Linked DNA regions of Schizosaccharomyces pombe. Changing the gene in region 1 together with any one later gene gives a genetic interaction. Each region holds a gene or a part of one and is shown in the gene's direction. Other genes may lie near its edges.

Region 1 (4,765 bases):
ATGCTTTGTATAAAAATATATAAATAAACGATGCCTGGGCTGCCAATAATGGTACGATGAAGTAAAGGTTGCTAACTTTGGGGCTTATTGAACAAGCGTCACTAAGGAAAGACAATTTAAAATTTCCTTTTGAAATAATTGGTGTTTAATAAATAAGTAAAAGGAAGAATCGCCAAAAAATTGGATTTTTCATTTAATTTTGTCGAAAATGGGGAAAGGAGAGGCAGTGTAAGCTACATTAGTCGGAGGGCTTAGACACAAAGTTGTGAGCTGTAACGTATAATATTGAAATTTTGCGATATTTAAAGTGCTATAAATTTGACATTGGAGAAAATAAATAAGTAAATAAACAATGAATTATAGAAGAAGATAAAAGGAACTGAATGAATTGTATATCTTAATAAACTAGGTAAATTTTTTTCTCTTTTAAAAACATGAGTGAAATGAAATGGCGCTACACATCTAAAAATTGAAATACATCAAGACACTTTACAAAAAAATTTCTAAATTGAATCTAAAATCAAGTTCTTTTGTTTTTAACCCCATTATCTTTTTAAAGATTCTAAATAATCTAAATTAATCGTTTGAACCAAATTTTTTATAGGATATATAACTACATATTTACTTTTTAAATTCTTTTTCATCTTATCATTAAATTCCGAGATTTTTTATTCCAAACAGCAGCTAATAATTATGAAATAACTTAGTTTTTAATTCTCTTATCTTTCTTGAACTTTTCGTCATATTGCAATAAGGATACAAATAAAAAAAAAATTTATTTTTAAAAGAATCTAAGCTTGAAAAGCCATACTATTTACTCTTTTATTGATTTCGAAAATTATTAAATTAAAACCCACTAACTAACCTGTTATTGTTGACATTAAGTATAAAATTTGACTTGGCTGTTCCGTAGCTAATTGTATCATTAATGAAATGACCGAGTTTGCTAAATTAACTCGAGTATATTTTCCTGTAAAGCTTATATTTTGCTTAAATCTGACTCGTTTAACAGCTAGTTTTATTCAAGTTAACAAACATACATTTTTCGAACAGTTTGGTGCAGTCTGCCAATCTTGAACTTGGTAGCAGACAGGATGCGTAGATTATGAAACATTCTAATAAAATTTCAAATGGAATAAAGCCATTATGTTGAATTTCAAGCTTGTTCTATGGTTTAACTACTTTCCATTTTCCTTCTTTCATCAGCTACTAAACAAAAAAATTACCTTATACTTTACTAATATGCTGAAGCCTTCAATGTTTGGGCATGTGATGCAGTGGTAGCATGCTCGCTTTGCATGCGAGTCGTCCTGGGTTCAATCCCCAGCGTGTCCAATATTTTTTTGTAAACTTAGCTACTCTCAGCAAAAATTAGGCCATTCCAATCGAGAGATTTCTTGTATTATATAGTTTAATGATAATCAAATCTCGATGACTCCTCCTTCCCATGCGATGTGGCGCGTTTTTATCCCAGTTGTCATTCCTTGAAATGTTGTGTATAAAACTATGAGTAGTAAACAAACTGTTGTTACAGCTGTATGTTTTTTAACACCCAAAAACCTATCACTATCAACAACTCAAAGAAAAAGAACCCATCTTTAGGAATGCTTAGTAATTTAAGAACGGTGAGAGTTCATGATTTCTTTTTCAGCGAAAAAGTTGTTTGTTATAGAATTACTTTACCGAGATTAAACTTCGTAAAAGCGAATGAAAAGTAAAACAAGCGAAAGTATATTAAGGATATGCGGCGGGATCTCACTGTAGCACGATAGTCTTTACTCACTACTACCACTATTAAGTACGGTGCTTTTTGATCATCAATAAGCAATTCCGTCTGTATCTAAATTACTTTTGTCTGTGTATATTTAGAAGTCAAAACTTTTTGTCATAATGTCAGAAAATTACTCGTTTTCTTTGCGTAAATTTAAGTTGGTTTTTCTCGGTGAGCAGTCAGTTGGCAAAACATCGTTAATTACACGATTTATGTACGATCAGTTTGATAATACTTATCAAGTAAGTAACTATAATTAAAACTTCTTTACTAACAGGGTCCAAGGCTACTATTGGTATAGACTTTCTAAGCAAGACTATGTATTTGGAAGATCGAACGGTTCGTCTTCAACTATGGGATACTGCTGGTCAAGAACGTTTCCGTTCTTTAATTCCTTCGTATATTAGGGATTCTTCTGTTGCTATTATTGTTTACGATATCACTAGTAAGTAATAGTGGCACAGTAATTTTGCCATATATTTTTACTCAGACTTTATTTTCGAATATCTGCTAACTACTTATAGACCATAACTCTTTTGTAAATACTGAGAAATGGATTGAAGATGTTCGTGCTGAGCGGGGAGACGACGTTATAATTGTTCTCGTTGGTAATAAAACGGACTTGGCTGATAAAAGGTATGACACTCCAGCTAACAGAGATTCAGCATTTACAATGCGACATCTCTTCATTCATAATTCCAAAGCTATATTTTGGTTTTTGATGGTTCTTATGCTAACGGTGGTTTAGGCAAGTGACTCAAGAAGAAGGAGAAAAAAAGGCAAAAGAATTAAAAATAATGCACATGGAAACTAGTGCTAAAGCGGGTCACAATGTAAAACTGTTGTTTAGGAAAATTGCACAAATGTTACCAGGCATGGAGAATGTGGAAACACAAAGCACTCAAATGATTGACGTTAGCATTCAGCCTAACGAGAATGAAAGCAGCTGCAATTGCTAGTGTATCTCATTGAACATGTCAGTGTACTCTAACTGTTTCGTGAATTATTTTTTTTCGCTTCAGGCCGCAATCAGCGGTTTTTAATGTCATTTGACCCTCAAAAAGTATACTGTGAGTATATATATATCTTCTTATAGCCCCTAAATCTTTTGCACCTTTAAAGAATCGCGATTCCTTTTATACCTGTTTCCTTTTCCTTCTTTTTTTACTTGTTTTAGTCCTTTTTTATTTTAATCCTGTCTCTATGATATATGCTTTACAAAAGTGAGAAGTTGAATTTCTGAATAAGTCTCTTTCGTTTAATCCCTGCGGTGCTTCTTGACTTTTCAAGGGCATTTGCAAAGAAGGAAAAAAATTACAATGTATGATTTTGGAATTCAGAGAAATGTTATTATTTTTTTTTTTTTAGATTTCGCTTTTTCCCTTTACTCATAAGTTATTTATGCTATGTGAGTCAGTTCAAGGTTTTCATTGAAACAGTAGAACTTTATTTATACTTCAATTTTTTAATTTTATTAAAAGATATGAGGTTTTTTGCCAAAAAAAATTGAATGAACCAAAAAAAAGTTAGCGGATATAACCTCTAGGCCTGCTTTGAATTTATGTTAAGATATTTGTTTATATCAAACTCTGAAAGACTCGGTAACGTCTCACATTGAGAATCAACAATCTCATTCAGCTGATCCCCTACCAAGTTTTTGATGGCAGCATCTGGAACCCAAATGACATGCATTCCTGCAGCCTTTGCACTTTTGACACCGGGAATACTGTCTTCAAAGGCAATGCATTGGCTTGGTGTAAGTGCCTTCAAACCTCGCTGCTTCCTACTTTCATTTATTAAATTCAACACCTTCAGCCAAATGTCTGGAAAAGGTTTGCCACGACCAGGTGCAATACTAGGATTATCACCTGTAATAACATTTTTACCAAATTTCTCAAAAATATGTTTAAGATGGGCTGTCTTCATATTATAATTTGCGGTATTAGAGGAAGTAGCAAGCTGGTGATGCTGTTAGCACACTTTTATTATAGCGTAGGGATGAGTACATACCCCGATATCAATTCCATGATTGGAGAGGTTATTAATCAAAGATTCAGCCCCAGGCATAGGCTTCAAAGACGACCAAAACTTTGCCTTTCAGAAAGTTAGTTGAAATGGAAATAAATGTAGCGTATAAGTACGTACCCGAATAACCTGTTGTTCATCAACGAATTGTTGAGGAGTCATAGGAATGTTGGACCAATCTATAACAACCTTGGCAGCTGCGGAACCCGGTCTCCCTACGTATCGCAAGTTAGACCTGCAATTTTGAAAGCATTTTAAAATATCTCTTCGCTAGCTTTATATAACATACCCATCATTTGAGCCTTAACAGAAATAGGAAGAGGATCCTTGCCATACCTGTCCAATATAAGATCTATAAAAAAAATAAAGATTAGAAAACATTGTAGTTTTGTGCTAAATATAAGCACAGATATATTATTTACATACTGGTCGTCTTTGTATAAATAGTTTCACTGTCGACAAGTAGACCCTGTAAAAAGAGTGATTGTTAATGCAAAAGCTTTCATAAGAGGTAATGTGGTGTGAAAAATAAACATACATCCATATCGAATAGACAAGCCATGTATTTTACGTGTTTAGCAGCCATTTCTAGGTAAAAAGATAGTGAAGCTTCTACGACCTAACAAAACCAAAGAAAAAAAAAAGCAGAAAAAAAACTTCCGGGATATCCAAAAAATCAAGTTTCAAAAAAGTATATTGCTGTATAACCAATAAAAAAGTATAAAATCTTCCAAAACAAGAATTAACAATTAAATATACAAATACAATTAAAGAAAACAAAGACACCGACAAATGAAGTGTTAACTGTATATCTAATTAAAAAAATCCGCGAAAAACCAAAAAATAAGGACAGTTGTTAAAGATCAACAAAGAAACGTCGATACAGTAAGGCGTGATAATTAGGCAGAATGAAAAATAGCTAAATCCCAAAACTGTGCAAACTGCAATAAGTAATCAACAATCGTAGAT
Region 2 (5,760 bases), 930 kb from region 1:
CGTCTCTGAACGAGTATCTTTGGAACTGAACTCTCCTCCTGGAAGTTTGTGTGGATATAGCATTCAATTTGATCATAACGTTTCTGAAAAAACAAAAATAAAATATATGACCGATGGAATCCTTTTGAATGAAATATTTTTTGATCCTTTGCTGGAAAGATATTCAATAGTCATTCTCGACGAAGTCCATGAACGAACTTTGTCGACAGATCTCCTACTAGGAGTTTTGAAAAGGTATTTAAATTTTCTATTCATAGCTGACAAATCAAGGATTTTAGAAAAGAGGAATGATTTTAGACTTGTGCTCTCCAGCGCTTCTGTTGACGCGAATAAACTGTCTCAGTTTTTCGGACAAGATAAAGTATGCACTATGTCAATTGAAGGGAAATTATTCCCCGTAGAAACATTATTTTTGCAGAAACCTACAGAAAATTACGTTGATTCTGCAATCGAAACGGTTATAAACATTAATTCAACCTATCCGCCTGGTGATATATTGGTTTTTCTTTCGGGAAGAAAAGAAATAGAATACTGTATAAAAAAGATTGAAGATTCCTTAATTCATGCTTCCGAAGACTGTCAAACTTTAGTTCCTTTACCTTTACATGCTGGTCTTACTGTTGACGAGCAAATGCGAGTTTTTAACATATATGATGGTGACTTCAGAAAAGTTATATTTTCTACGAATATTGCTGAGACTAGTATTACTATTGATGGCATAGTTTATGTCGTTGATTCAGGTTTTAATAAACAACGGATATACAACCCGTATACAAGGACTTCAAAATTGATTAACGTGCCTATATCTAAGTCAAGTGCTATACAGAGAAGTGGAAGAGCTGGAAGGACAATGAGGGGAAAGGTGTTCCGTCTATATACTGAAAAAGCTTACAGCTTGATGAAAGAAGAATTTGAAGCAGACATCTTAAATTGCGATATGTCACCGTTGGTGTTATTTTTGAAAGGTTTAGGGCTAAAAAACATACTTCAGTTTCCCTTTTTTGTCCGTCCTCCCACAGTTCACCTTATGGCGGCTCTAGAGGTTTGTGAATTTTATTATAGCCGGCAAACAACTAATTTTTTTGAAGGACCTCTATCTTTTAGGTGTCTTGGACGAAAGTGGAAATTTGACAGACCCACTTGGCATACAAATTTCCAACTCATTCTTGGATGCAAACATCTCCAAAGCTGTACGTACTCCCATATAGGAAATAAAGTACACGCTAACCCATCATTAGTTACTTACTTCCAACCAATTTGGTTGCACTCATGAAATTCTTTCAATTGCTTCAATACTTACAGCAGGCGAAGTATTTTATAATCCCACAAGTTCATCAAAGAATGATGCCTTCGTTGCCCATTCTTCTTTTTTTGCAAATGAAGGGGACATCATTACCGCATTAAATGGTATGCTTCATTAATAAAGTTTAAAAGTGTATTAACATTTAGTTTTTGAATCTTTTGTCGGTAACAAAAAAGATTTACAATGGTGCAGGAAAAATTATTTGAACTATCAAACTTTGCGCCAAGCCCTTGACATTCGCACTCATTTGGTTCGTTTTTTAAATAAATTTTCTATACCTACTGCTCAAAGATTACCATCCAGTGATTGTTCCAAAATTTTGAAATGCCTACTTGATGGTTTTGTGCGTAACGTCGCACATTTACAGAATGACGGCTCTTACAAAACAATAGGAGGAAAGCAGGTTTGGTTAGACTCTAGTAGTGTACTTCATGAAAAAAAAACACCATGGATCATGTATTCTTCAGGTAAGCCTATTTGTTATAAGACTATTTTAACGTTTTAGCTGTCGAATCAGAAACTCAAATATTCGTGAAGAATATTTCTAAAATAGAAAGTTTTTGGCTGGATAAATACTATAAACGAGAAAAATAATATATGTTAATACAATTTCATGTTACCGGTTTAGCATAGTAAGTTTTGGTAGTTAAAACATATGTTGACCTCACTTCCACCAACTTGCTCAATCCACCCCATTATGAGTGATTTGGAAAAGGTAAGAGAAAAATTTCAGCTAATTGCTAATATTGGCCCATAGATTCGTCTTAAAAGGCTTGCTAAATTGCAGCAGACCAATTCGGAGGCAAATTCTTCTAAAGAACCTAAGGAAAGCAATATTGCACCTGAACCTAAAAAACCTGATTTAAAAAAGAGATTTATTGGTTCAAAGGCTACAACATCAAATTCAGAACAAAAAGAAATATCTCCACCTGTTACATCTGGTGCTCCAAAACATCGCTTGTTTTCTAAGGATGAATGGATGCATTTTATAACATGTCAGGCTCTTAATATTACATTAAGTGAAACTGATTCATCAAAATACTATTTAGAAGGTTTTAAAAAAGATTTAGAAGAAGAGGGATCCCCTTTATTATTTAATGAGAATAATGTTGACTCTGCGTTACTCTCTCGACTGTCAACAACTGGCAACAATACTTTCTCTTATTTGTTACAGTCTTGGAGTTTTCTGTATCAGTATAAAAAGAGACTTCCGAAGGATGAAAACCAGGACTTTAAAATTCACTATTTATCTCTGTTAAAAAGTTTGCTTGTCAGTTATGCCGGTATTGTAGTAATGCTTCCTGACACATTCAATTCGGAGACAATTGATTTGGCCGAGGTTTTAATTGGTGCAGAAGGTATACCTTTGGAATTTCTATCAGAATTTGTTCAGAGGTTTGAACACGAAAACTTAGATGAATTGTTTATTCCTGTGTTGGAATCTTTATCTTTGAAAATTGGTCTTATGAATGTAGATACTGTTCAAATGAATGTGATGCAGGTATGAACATCAATTTTTATCTTTTAGCATAAACTGATATTTTTAGATTATATTACAACTTGTGTCATTAAAACCAATTGCATTACTTTTGCCGAAGTTGCCTTCTTGGAATCCTACGAATAATGCTGGAGAAATTGAGTACAAAACGTTTCTTGGAAGAATATCAAGCTTGTCAGTGTTTACTCAAGATGTCGCTTCTCGATATTTTTCCAATTCTACTGAGAGATCAGCCCAAAATATATCTTCGTCAATAAGTTCTTTAAAATTGACTATGTCTACTTATCAGGATGTCCTTTTTCAAATTTTCAATACCCTCATTCGAACATCTACATCTTTGAGAGAGTCTGTGTTGGATTTCTTTGCCATGGTGGTAAATGCCAATCACAAGCGACAATCCATTCAAGTTAATCATTTTGATATTACATCTGACGCCTGCATGCTAAATTTTTCACATGTGTTAAGCAGACTTTCTGAACCATTTCTTGACATAGGATGTTCGAAAATTGACAGAGTACAAGTTGAATATTTTAGGAGAAACCCTCGCGTTGATATCAAAGAAGAGACTAAATTGAATGCTGATCAAAAGGCTTCGGAATCGTTTTATTCAAAACCAGCCGAGGGTTCCAATAACTTTATTTCAGACATATTTTTTTTAAATCTCGCATTTCATCATTATGGTGTAAATGCTACCTTTAAGGCTTTAGAGCAACTTGTGCAATCAATTCGTGATAGCGAGAAACTGAAAGAAAGATTAGAGACTGAACAGCAAAATATGAGCGGTAGTTTTCAAGCGACACGTCTCACTGCTCAATTAAGTCGGCTTGATCAAAGATTGGATTTAGATAGATCGTTTGTGCACTGTTATGAGATTATGCTTACGCAGACATCTGATACTTCAAGATCATTTTCTTTTCTTAATTTCGTTGCCATTTGGTTATCGAGGTTAGCTGATGGTCAATCTTCGACATATCCAAAAATGCCGCTATCGTTACCGTTTAATGAAAATGCACCGGAAGCTTTCAAATGTTTACCTGAATATTTTATTGAAACCATTACAGATTATATGTTGTCTTTATTTAAAACCTCGTCGAGTACTTTGACGCTGCATTCCTTAGAGCCTTTGTGTGAATTTTGTGTGTCGTTTCTAACTCAAGCTAATTATATCAAAAATCCTTATTTGCGAGCGAAACTTGCCGAGATTTTATACTTTGGAGTGCAAACGCACGTGGGAAGATCAGAATTGTTGTTAGATGTTGTACGTACGTCGAAGGTTGCAACAAGGTGGTTACTTCCAGCACTTATGGCGTTTTATATTGAGATTGAATCTACAGGACAATCTACCCAATTTTATGATAAATTCAACATTCGTTTCTATATATGCGAAGTATTTAGAACTATTTGGAAGCAACCAGCCTATTTTGGTAAGCTGGAGCAGGAGCAAAAAACAAATTTGCCGTTTTTTGTTAAATTTGTAGCTCTCATGCTTAATGATGCTACATATCTTCTTGATGAGGCTCTTTTAAAACTAACCGAGATTCACAACCTTCAGAGCCTTTTGGCAGATGCAATAAGCAATAGCAACTCTAACCAGAATGTTCAAGAATCGCAAAGCAACTTAGCGGCCGCAGAACGTCAAGCTTCTACTTATTGCCAGTTAGGGAATGAAACTATTTTTATGCTCAAATTGTTCACTTCCTCAATTCCTAAAGCCTTTTGTGCCGTTGAAATTGTAGATCGGTTGGCAGCTATGCTAAACTATAACCTTCAAGCTTTATGTGGCCCTAAGTGTAGTAACCTCAAGGTAGAGGACCCAACGAAATATCATTTTAATGCAAAAACCCTTTTGTCGATTATTTTCGATGTTTATCTTAACCTGTGCAATGAACCTGCATTTGTCGAAGCTGTTGCTCACGATGGCCGTTCTTATAGTAAAGAAATATTTGAACGTGCGACTAGCATTATGACTAAGCACAACCTCAAGTCATCTTTTGATATAGAAGCTATTAAAGAATTTGTGAATAGGGTAGAGGCATTCAGATTGCAAGAGGCTACTGAAGAGGAAGACATGGGTGATATTCCTGACTACTTCTTAGATCCTCTTATGTTTACAATAATGAAAGATCCTGTTGTTTTACCGAGATCTGGCATTTCGATTGATAGGTCTACTATTAAAGCACATCTACTAAGTGATGCCACCGACCCATTTAATCGAACTCCATTAACGCTTGATGATGTGACACCGAGTAAGTTTTTTTTTTCCACTGTTAGTTACTAATTCTTTAGATGATACATTACGTGAGGAAATTAACACGTTCCTGAAATCAAAACGCAACAAACATTCGCGAAATAGTGAATGAATATAACTGTGTTTATACTAGTTTTTTAATGAAAGGCTTCGATAAGTTTAAATAAAAGATTAGACAATTAATTACTATGAAATATTTAAACATTCATGGAAACTCATTAGGTAATGATTCGAAGGATAAAAAACTTGGTGTACGGTACCACAAAGGTTAAGCTCGTAAAATAATTCCTTTGCACAAGAGGATAAATGAATATAGTGAATCTAACAATACAGAATGTAATTAATAGAACGCTCTTATACACCATAACAGAGATTGCATTTCATCAGAGTAAGATACAGTGCTTCTTCTTTTTTGTCTTCGGTACACTAGCAGGCTTAAATTTAAGCATGGAAGCACGAGCTGCAGTCTCAAAAACCTCATTGACCCCTTCGTTCAATTTCGCTGAACATTCGAGATACTTATAGGCGCCAATCTTTTGAGCTACTACCTGTCCTTCTTCAAATGTGATAGGCTTCTGTGAGGTTTTGGAGAGCTCTTCGATTGTTTTTGGATCGTTTCGTAAATCCACTTTACACCCAACTAGCAAAATGGGTAAATTGGAGCAGAAGTGAAGAACTTCAGAAATCCATTTTTCTTGAACATTGTCCAAA
Region 3 (5,674 bases), 3.8 Mb from region 1:
CTTGAACATACAAGGACGGGAAAGAATTTAGGGGGAATATGAGGTTTGTAGAGCTAAATGCCTTCAAAGTATTTATTACTAACGGAAATTTAGGGTACATACTTGCTATTTCTGCTCGGGTCCTGTTTACCCAGGACATGGAATAATGTTTGTTAGAAATGACTCCAAGGTCTTTCGTTTCTGTCGCAGCAAGTGCCATAAGAACTTCAAAATGAAGCGCAATCCTCGTAAGGTATGTTTTTTTTATAATAAAGGAATGCAAAAACGTTATACAGACTTGGTTGAGGAAGATGATTGATTTTGAAAGAGGAAAAATTTTTTTCTGTTGCCTTGTTTTGAAATGATACTTTTCTTCTTCAAATTCTACCTTAAATGGTGTACTTTTTCCTTTATATGCCCATGAACGAAGAAAGTTTTCTATTGTTTTTTTAAATGTTTTGCTTCCACCTATATGTATGTATACTAACTTCAATGTCTAGGTTGCTTGGACCAAAGCGTACCGTAAGGCACATGGAAAGGAAATGGTTTATGACACAGCTCTCGCAGTTACCGCAGCTCGTAGAAATGTTCCTGTTCGTTACGACCGTAATGTCATTGCAACTACTTTGAATGCCATGAAACGGGTTAGCCAAGTTCATGCCAAGAGAGAGCGTCTGTTTTACAAAAAGAGATTGGCTGGCAAACGTGCCCAAGAGCTTCAAGAAGCTCAAAAACTCATTGCTCAAAATGTTCCTCAATTTACCGAACCCGAAGGTGAGGTTGAAACTGCTGAGGTACAAGAACCCCAAATTGTTTCCGACGAGGAGTATACCATGGAAGAAGAAGTTGCAGAACCTGTCAAGATTCCCGTCCTCGCCAAAAAACGCAAAAACAAGAAATCTCGAAACTCATCTTCAGCCATGCAAATGGACTAAACACTCTTCTTCCTACAAAAATGTAACTCTCGATCTTCCGTTGGTTGCGTCCCGCTTCGTTCTTTTATTTTATTTTATTTTATTGTTTTATTCCTTTCAAATTTACAAAATAGTAGAAGAGAAGACATTTTTGGGGAGTGGTTTTCTTACACTTTCGAACTCTTTAGACACTTCGAAAACGTGTTTTTTAAAATTTATCTTGCATATCTAAAGTTGGCATTTGGTTTCGGCTTCTCTTCTCGTTTGGTTACTTCTTTGGACTTGCATGCTACGTGCAGATTAATATGGTTAATAATGGATTTTCGTGTATACATACTTGTAAACGAACCTATCTTCAGTTTGGAGCTTGTACAAGATACAACAGTCTAACAGTTTGAAAAATGGTTGTTTAGGAATAAATTGGTTTATATTATTAGTTTCGTTTATCACAAATGCCTCTTCGAAATGTAAAATTCTACTAGAACGATAGAACATTGCTTCATTATTTGGATTCAATTCTCCATGAGGTATATTTAGTAAGTCATAAAACAGTAAAGACTTTGTCATTTATGCTGGTTTCCTTGCATATACATTTCTCTATAGTTGACAAGCCTATTCAAGTCTCATATCACTGTGGAACTCATGAAAACAGATCCCTCTCCTTGTAAAGCTGTTTAAACCCTACAGTCCAATGCTAAAGGTTGTTAATTCTTTAGAGTTGCGAGTCCGTTATTGACGTTTTCGATTGCTTGCGCACACTCACTAACACCATACATTAGCTAACTACTGACACATTGCACCTGCCGTTTATCTCAACTCATTGTCTTAGTAGATGATTTTTTTTTTTCAAAATGGTTTCTTAGCAAGACTCATTAAAAACTCCTTGACAGTTTTATTACCTTCTAAAATATGTAAAATGAGAAGTTTCATAGAGAAATGAACTATTCTTCAACATCTTCTTCTCTTTGTTTTTACCGAGGAGACGTTAGACTGCGGAAACGTGGTTTATGGGACGTGTGTTTACACTCGGTGGATGGAAATGTTGAAGAGCGGAATAATCGCGACGTCGTATCAACTACCAAAATCGCGTATGCAAATTGAAAACAGAGTATTTGTTCAACTTACATGGTTTTTCGAGTATTTATATACTAGATTCCTAGTTTTAGGAGAGTTCAGATAATCGAGATAGCCATTGGTATAGTTGGGGCTAAAATCTTTGCTTTCATAAGAAAGCAGTAATTTCCAAGGTTAAATTGCTCCTGTACAGAAATTAGCGTTTATGAAATACTTCTTTACTTTGTTATAAGTTGATCGTTTTCTCTTTGGTTAAGTTAGCATGTGGAAAATACGATGCGTTTGTCCATTCGAGGATGATGACGGATTCACCATCCAATGCGAAAGTTGCGAGGTATGGCAACACGCCGTTTGTGTAAACATAGATGCAAATAATGTTCCTGAAAAATATTTTTGTGAACAATGCCAACCTCGTCCTATCGATGCCGACAAGGCGCATAAAATTCAACTAGCTAGGTTACAGCGCGAAGAAGAGCAGTCTAGGATATTATCGCGATCCCGTTCTTCCAACAACAAGAGAAGAACTAGTTTTGGCAAAAATGGTGCTAGTCCTACACACTCTGCGTCACCGAGACAAGGCAATAACACAGGCGCTAATGGCGCTTTATTTTCACAGTCTACCAACTCTTCGAACTCGGGGTCTTATCGTAACAGTGTGACTGGTGCAACATTGCCCAATGCTCATGCTCCACATTCTCAGAATCGCAGACGAAGATCCAACCACCTTAACAACCCACCAGAGGCTCCAATCACCGAGGCTTCTAACGAATATGTGTATTCGTTTCACTTGGAATACGTCCCTTTGGAATCAAACACCTTTTCTGCATCTGCGCTTGAGTATTCTAAGAATTTGGATTTAAAGAATTTAGATGAATCCGAAGTTTTAATGGATGGATGCCAAGTCGTACCTATATCATCTTCAAAGTTTTGTTGTAGTCGCTTTGGTTTGGTGTCAACTTGCGAAATTCCTCCAAATACACCCATTATGGAGGTGAAAGGAAGGGTTTGTACGCAGAATGAATACAAAAGTGATCCCAAAAACCAGTACAATATTTTGGGGGCTCCTAAGCCACATGTCTTTTTTGACTCAAATTCTCAGCTTGTTGTTGACTCACGGGTTGCTGGTTCAAAAGCGAGGTTTGCGCGTAAAGGTTGTCAGTCAAACTCCGTCGTTTCAAGTGTTTACATGAATGGGTCTAACAGTGTTCCTCGATTTATCCTCTATTCAACTACTCACATAGCTCCGGAAACAGAGATTATTGGGGATTGGACTCTCGATATTTCCCATCCATTTCGCCAGTTTGCGCCTGGTATGTCGCGACCCTCCTTCAATATGGAAGAGTTGGAATTACTTTCAGAAGTGCTTTCTACCTTCCTGTCGTTTAACGAATGTGCCTCACAGGATAAGAAAAACTGTGTTTTTTCCAGAGTTACTAAATATATTAAAGCGGCCCGCCGCGCTTCTACTGCAAACCGTGTCAGTGTAGCAAAAGACCGTTTGTCTCTGACACCTTCCTCAACCCCTTCTACCCCTAGCCCTGCTGAATCATTACCGCAACCTTCAAACCCCACATCGGTCTATGCCAAATCCTTGAAAGAGTTTTGGTTAGATAAGTACCGTCTTAGTATTTTGCAAAAATGGCCTGCTGTTAAGTCATTACCCACAGAAAGTGTAGGAATCGATGTAGTCATGGAGCCGAAGTTACAGCCATCTGTGAAGGAGAAAAAACCAACTAAAGATTTACAATCTCCACTACCCTCTGTTGAGGAAGATTCCTCTAATAGGGACAAGAAAACTGATATTGCTGATTTACACACTGATTCTAAGGTGGGCATTGCAGACGTCTTATCGCCCATTTCACCCGATGCTGCATTACAATCCGATGGTCCATTGAAAAAAGCAAAGGAACCTGAAGAATCCTCGATAACCCCTACAACTCCTCCATCTTTTAATGTTGGAGAATCACTAAGTAGGCGATCAGCCTCACCATTACAACATCCTCGAACAAGCCCAGATATGCTGGACAAAACTTCTCCTTGCAAAAGAGGATTAGGAACTATTACGACAGTCCACAAAAAGCATGGTTCTGTTGATCATTTGCCGTCAGTTAAAAGACGCCGTAGCATTGCAAATGATTTTCATGGCAAACCTGATTATAATAAAAGATCGCTATCTATCGAAAGGAAGCCGGAAGCCTTTAAGACTAAAGGTGACAGACCACATAAGGTCCATCCTTCTTTCCATAGAAATTCAGATTCAAAATTGAAACTCGAGCCGTCGAGTAAAGAAAAGAGTGGGTCCATGTTTTTTAATACGTTAAGGACTGTAAAAGATAAATCGCATGTTCACGACACTCAAAGGTCTTCTGACGTTAACTTTTCTAGACAGAATGGCACTCGATCCCATTCACCTTCGGTTAGTCCTGTCGGGTTTTCGTTTGATAAATCTCCTGTAACTACGCCTCCTTTGCCGACAGCTCCAGCACCAGTTATAACGAGTCGCCATGCTTTGGTAAACAACCAATTTCCTACGAACAATCCAAACATTTTGGACCACAAAGCCAACAACGGTGATGATATCTCGAATGCGTTAAATACTTCAAGAAGCGAAAACAAGCCCAATTCGAATCTGGTCCAAGGAAGTGTAGTCAAGCCTAGTAACACTTCAGCCTCTGCTCTTCCTACCTCAGCACCGAAGAAGCTATCTCTTTCTGAGTATCGACAACGACGTCAACAAAACATTCTGCATCAACAGTCGAAGGATAATCAAGCACATGGCGATACAGCTAGGCCTCACACCGTTCCTGCTGCTACAGTTTCTAACCCTTCATTTACGCGATAAAAATTCTAGAAGATGTTGTAAATCTTGAAACCATATAAATGTGTGGATGATTTTTTTTATTGGATATGGTATACGAACAAGTTTTCACGATTCTAAAGTTGGTACGATGACTGCATCTTTTTACCTTCATATGTATTTTCATTTCATTTTTTTATTATGATGATTGGTACTCGGAGCATATTTTACTGTCACCTGCTTCTGCATTCTTTTCTTCTTCGTTTGTAAATATTTAATGACTAAGTGTTTGGGCGAAAACTCTAGTTCCTTTTTTTTTTTTTAGTTTCTTTTGATTCAGAGCAACGAACCCTCAGTCGTTGCATTTTTCTGTTCCTAATTTGCACGTTTAGAACATTGTACAATATAATAATATTAATTTATAGCAGTTAAATGATTTATGTTTGTCATATAGAAGTTTCGGTTCGTAAGATTATAAGAACTAACTATTTAAGATGTCAGCTATTTCCGTATGCGACATGTACTAGATTAAATAACTTTTTGGATACGCAAATGAAGCTAGTACATTTTGAGTATTAAGTATCATAAATATAAACATCGATTCAAATATGCTACGTGCAGATTTCAGCGAATTGTCGCATCAAATTAAACTATTCATCGACGATCCACTCAGATCTTGTATATATCAAACGGCCTACGTTAATATAGCTTGTCTACTTATAGCGACTCTGAAAGTGCGCCGTTAGATTATTGTGGTATAGAACCGGGAGGTTAGGTACCATTCCTCTCTCTCCATGAACCTACTTTTTTAAGCGAAACGCAAACAAAAGTAAACAATTACCAATGAACATTTCACGTTCATCAGGTCTGATGAGACAGTTCCTGCTTCAGCCCTTACGGAAAGGCTGCG

The links.
Region 2: mutations in ryh1 (region 1) and ufd2 together harm fitness more than expected from each alone (negative genetic interaction), as found in Schizosaccharomyces pombe (2 studies listed by BioGRID).
Region 3: mutations in ryh1 (region 1) and set3 together harm fitness more than expected from each alone (negative genetic interaction), as found in Schizosaccharomyces pombe (2 studies listed by BioGRID).

The regions. Positions count from the first base shown.
Region 1 is NC_003424.3:1,192,162-1,196,926, reverse strand, and holds ryh1 (Rab family GTPase Ryh1), read left to right. Parts: upstream 1-1,781; 5' UTR 1,782-1,890; coding exon 1,891-2,013; exon of another isoform or gene 2,014-2,056; coding exon 2,057-2,216; intron 2,217-2,293; exon of another isoform or gene 2,294-2,295; coding exon 2,296-2,407; exon of another isoform or gene 2,408-2,519; coding exon 2,520-2,730; 3' UTR 2,731-3,313; coding exon of another isoform or gene 3,314-3,730; 3' UTR 3,731-3,781; coding exon of another isoform or gene 3,782-3,865; 3' UTR 3,866-3,916; coding exon of another isoform or gene 3,917-4,011; 3' UTR 4,012-4,085; coding exon of another isoform or gene 4,086-4,148; 3' UTR 4,149-4,222; downstream 4,223-4,765. Other genes in the region: pseudouridine-5'-phosphatase Pud1, read right to left, coding at 3,314-3,730, 3,782-3,865, 3,917-4,011, 4,086-4,148, 4,223-4,265, 4,335-4,382. UniProt on the Schizosaccharomyces pombe protein: Has a role in retrograde traffricking of proteins from the endosome to the Golgi. Involved in protein transport to the plasma membrane. Involved in the secretory pathway where it has a role in acid phosphatase secretion.
Region 2 is NC_003424.3:2,126,463-2,132,222, forward strand, and holds ufd2 (ubiquitin-protein ligase E4), read left to right. Parts: upstream 1-1,978; 5' UTR 1,979-2,000; coding exon 2,001-2,018; exon of another isoform or gene 2,019-2,026; intron 2,027-2,060; coding exon 2,061-2,804; intron 2,805-2,850; coding exon 2,851-5,047; intron 5,048-5,087; coding exon 5,088-5,161; 3' UTR 5,162-5,251; downstream 5,252-5,760. Other genes in the region: gih35 (ATP-dependent RNA helicase), read left to right, coding at 1-234, 271-1,042, 1,089-1,190, 1,239-1,407, 1,450-1,770, 1,809-1,897; Rho family GTPase Rho5, read right to left, coding at 5,433-5,760. UniProt on the Schizosaccharomyces pombe protein: E4 ubiquitin chain-elongation enzyme specifically involved in polyubiquitin chain assembly.
Region 3 is NC_003424.3:5,039,037-5,044,710, reverse strand, and holds set3 (putative histone H3 lysine methyltransferase Set3), read left to right. Parts: upstream 1-1,966; 5' UTR 1,967-2,229; coding exon 2,230-4,809; 3' UTR 4,810-5,165; downstream 5,166-5,674. Other genes in the region: ribosome biogenesis protein rlp24, read left to right, coding at 39-43, 94-232, 480-914; etp1 (monooxygenase-ferredoxin fusion protein), read left to right, coding at 5,608-5,674. UniProt on the Schizosaccharomyces pombe protein: Transcriptional regulator that acts via the formation of large multiprotein complexes that modify and/or remodel the chromatin. Required for both gene activation and repression.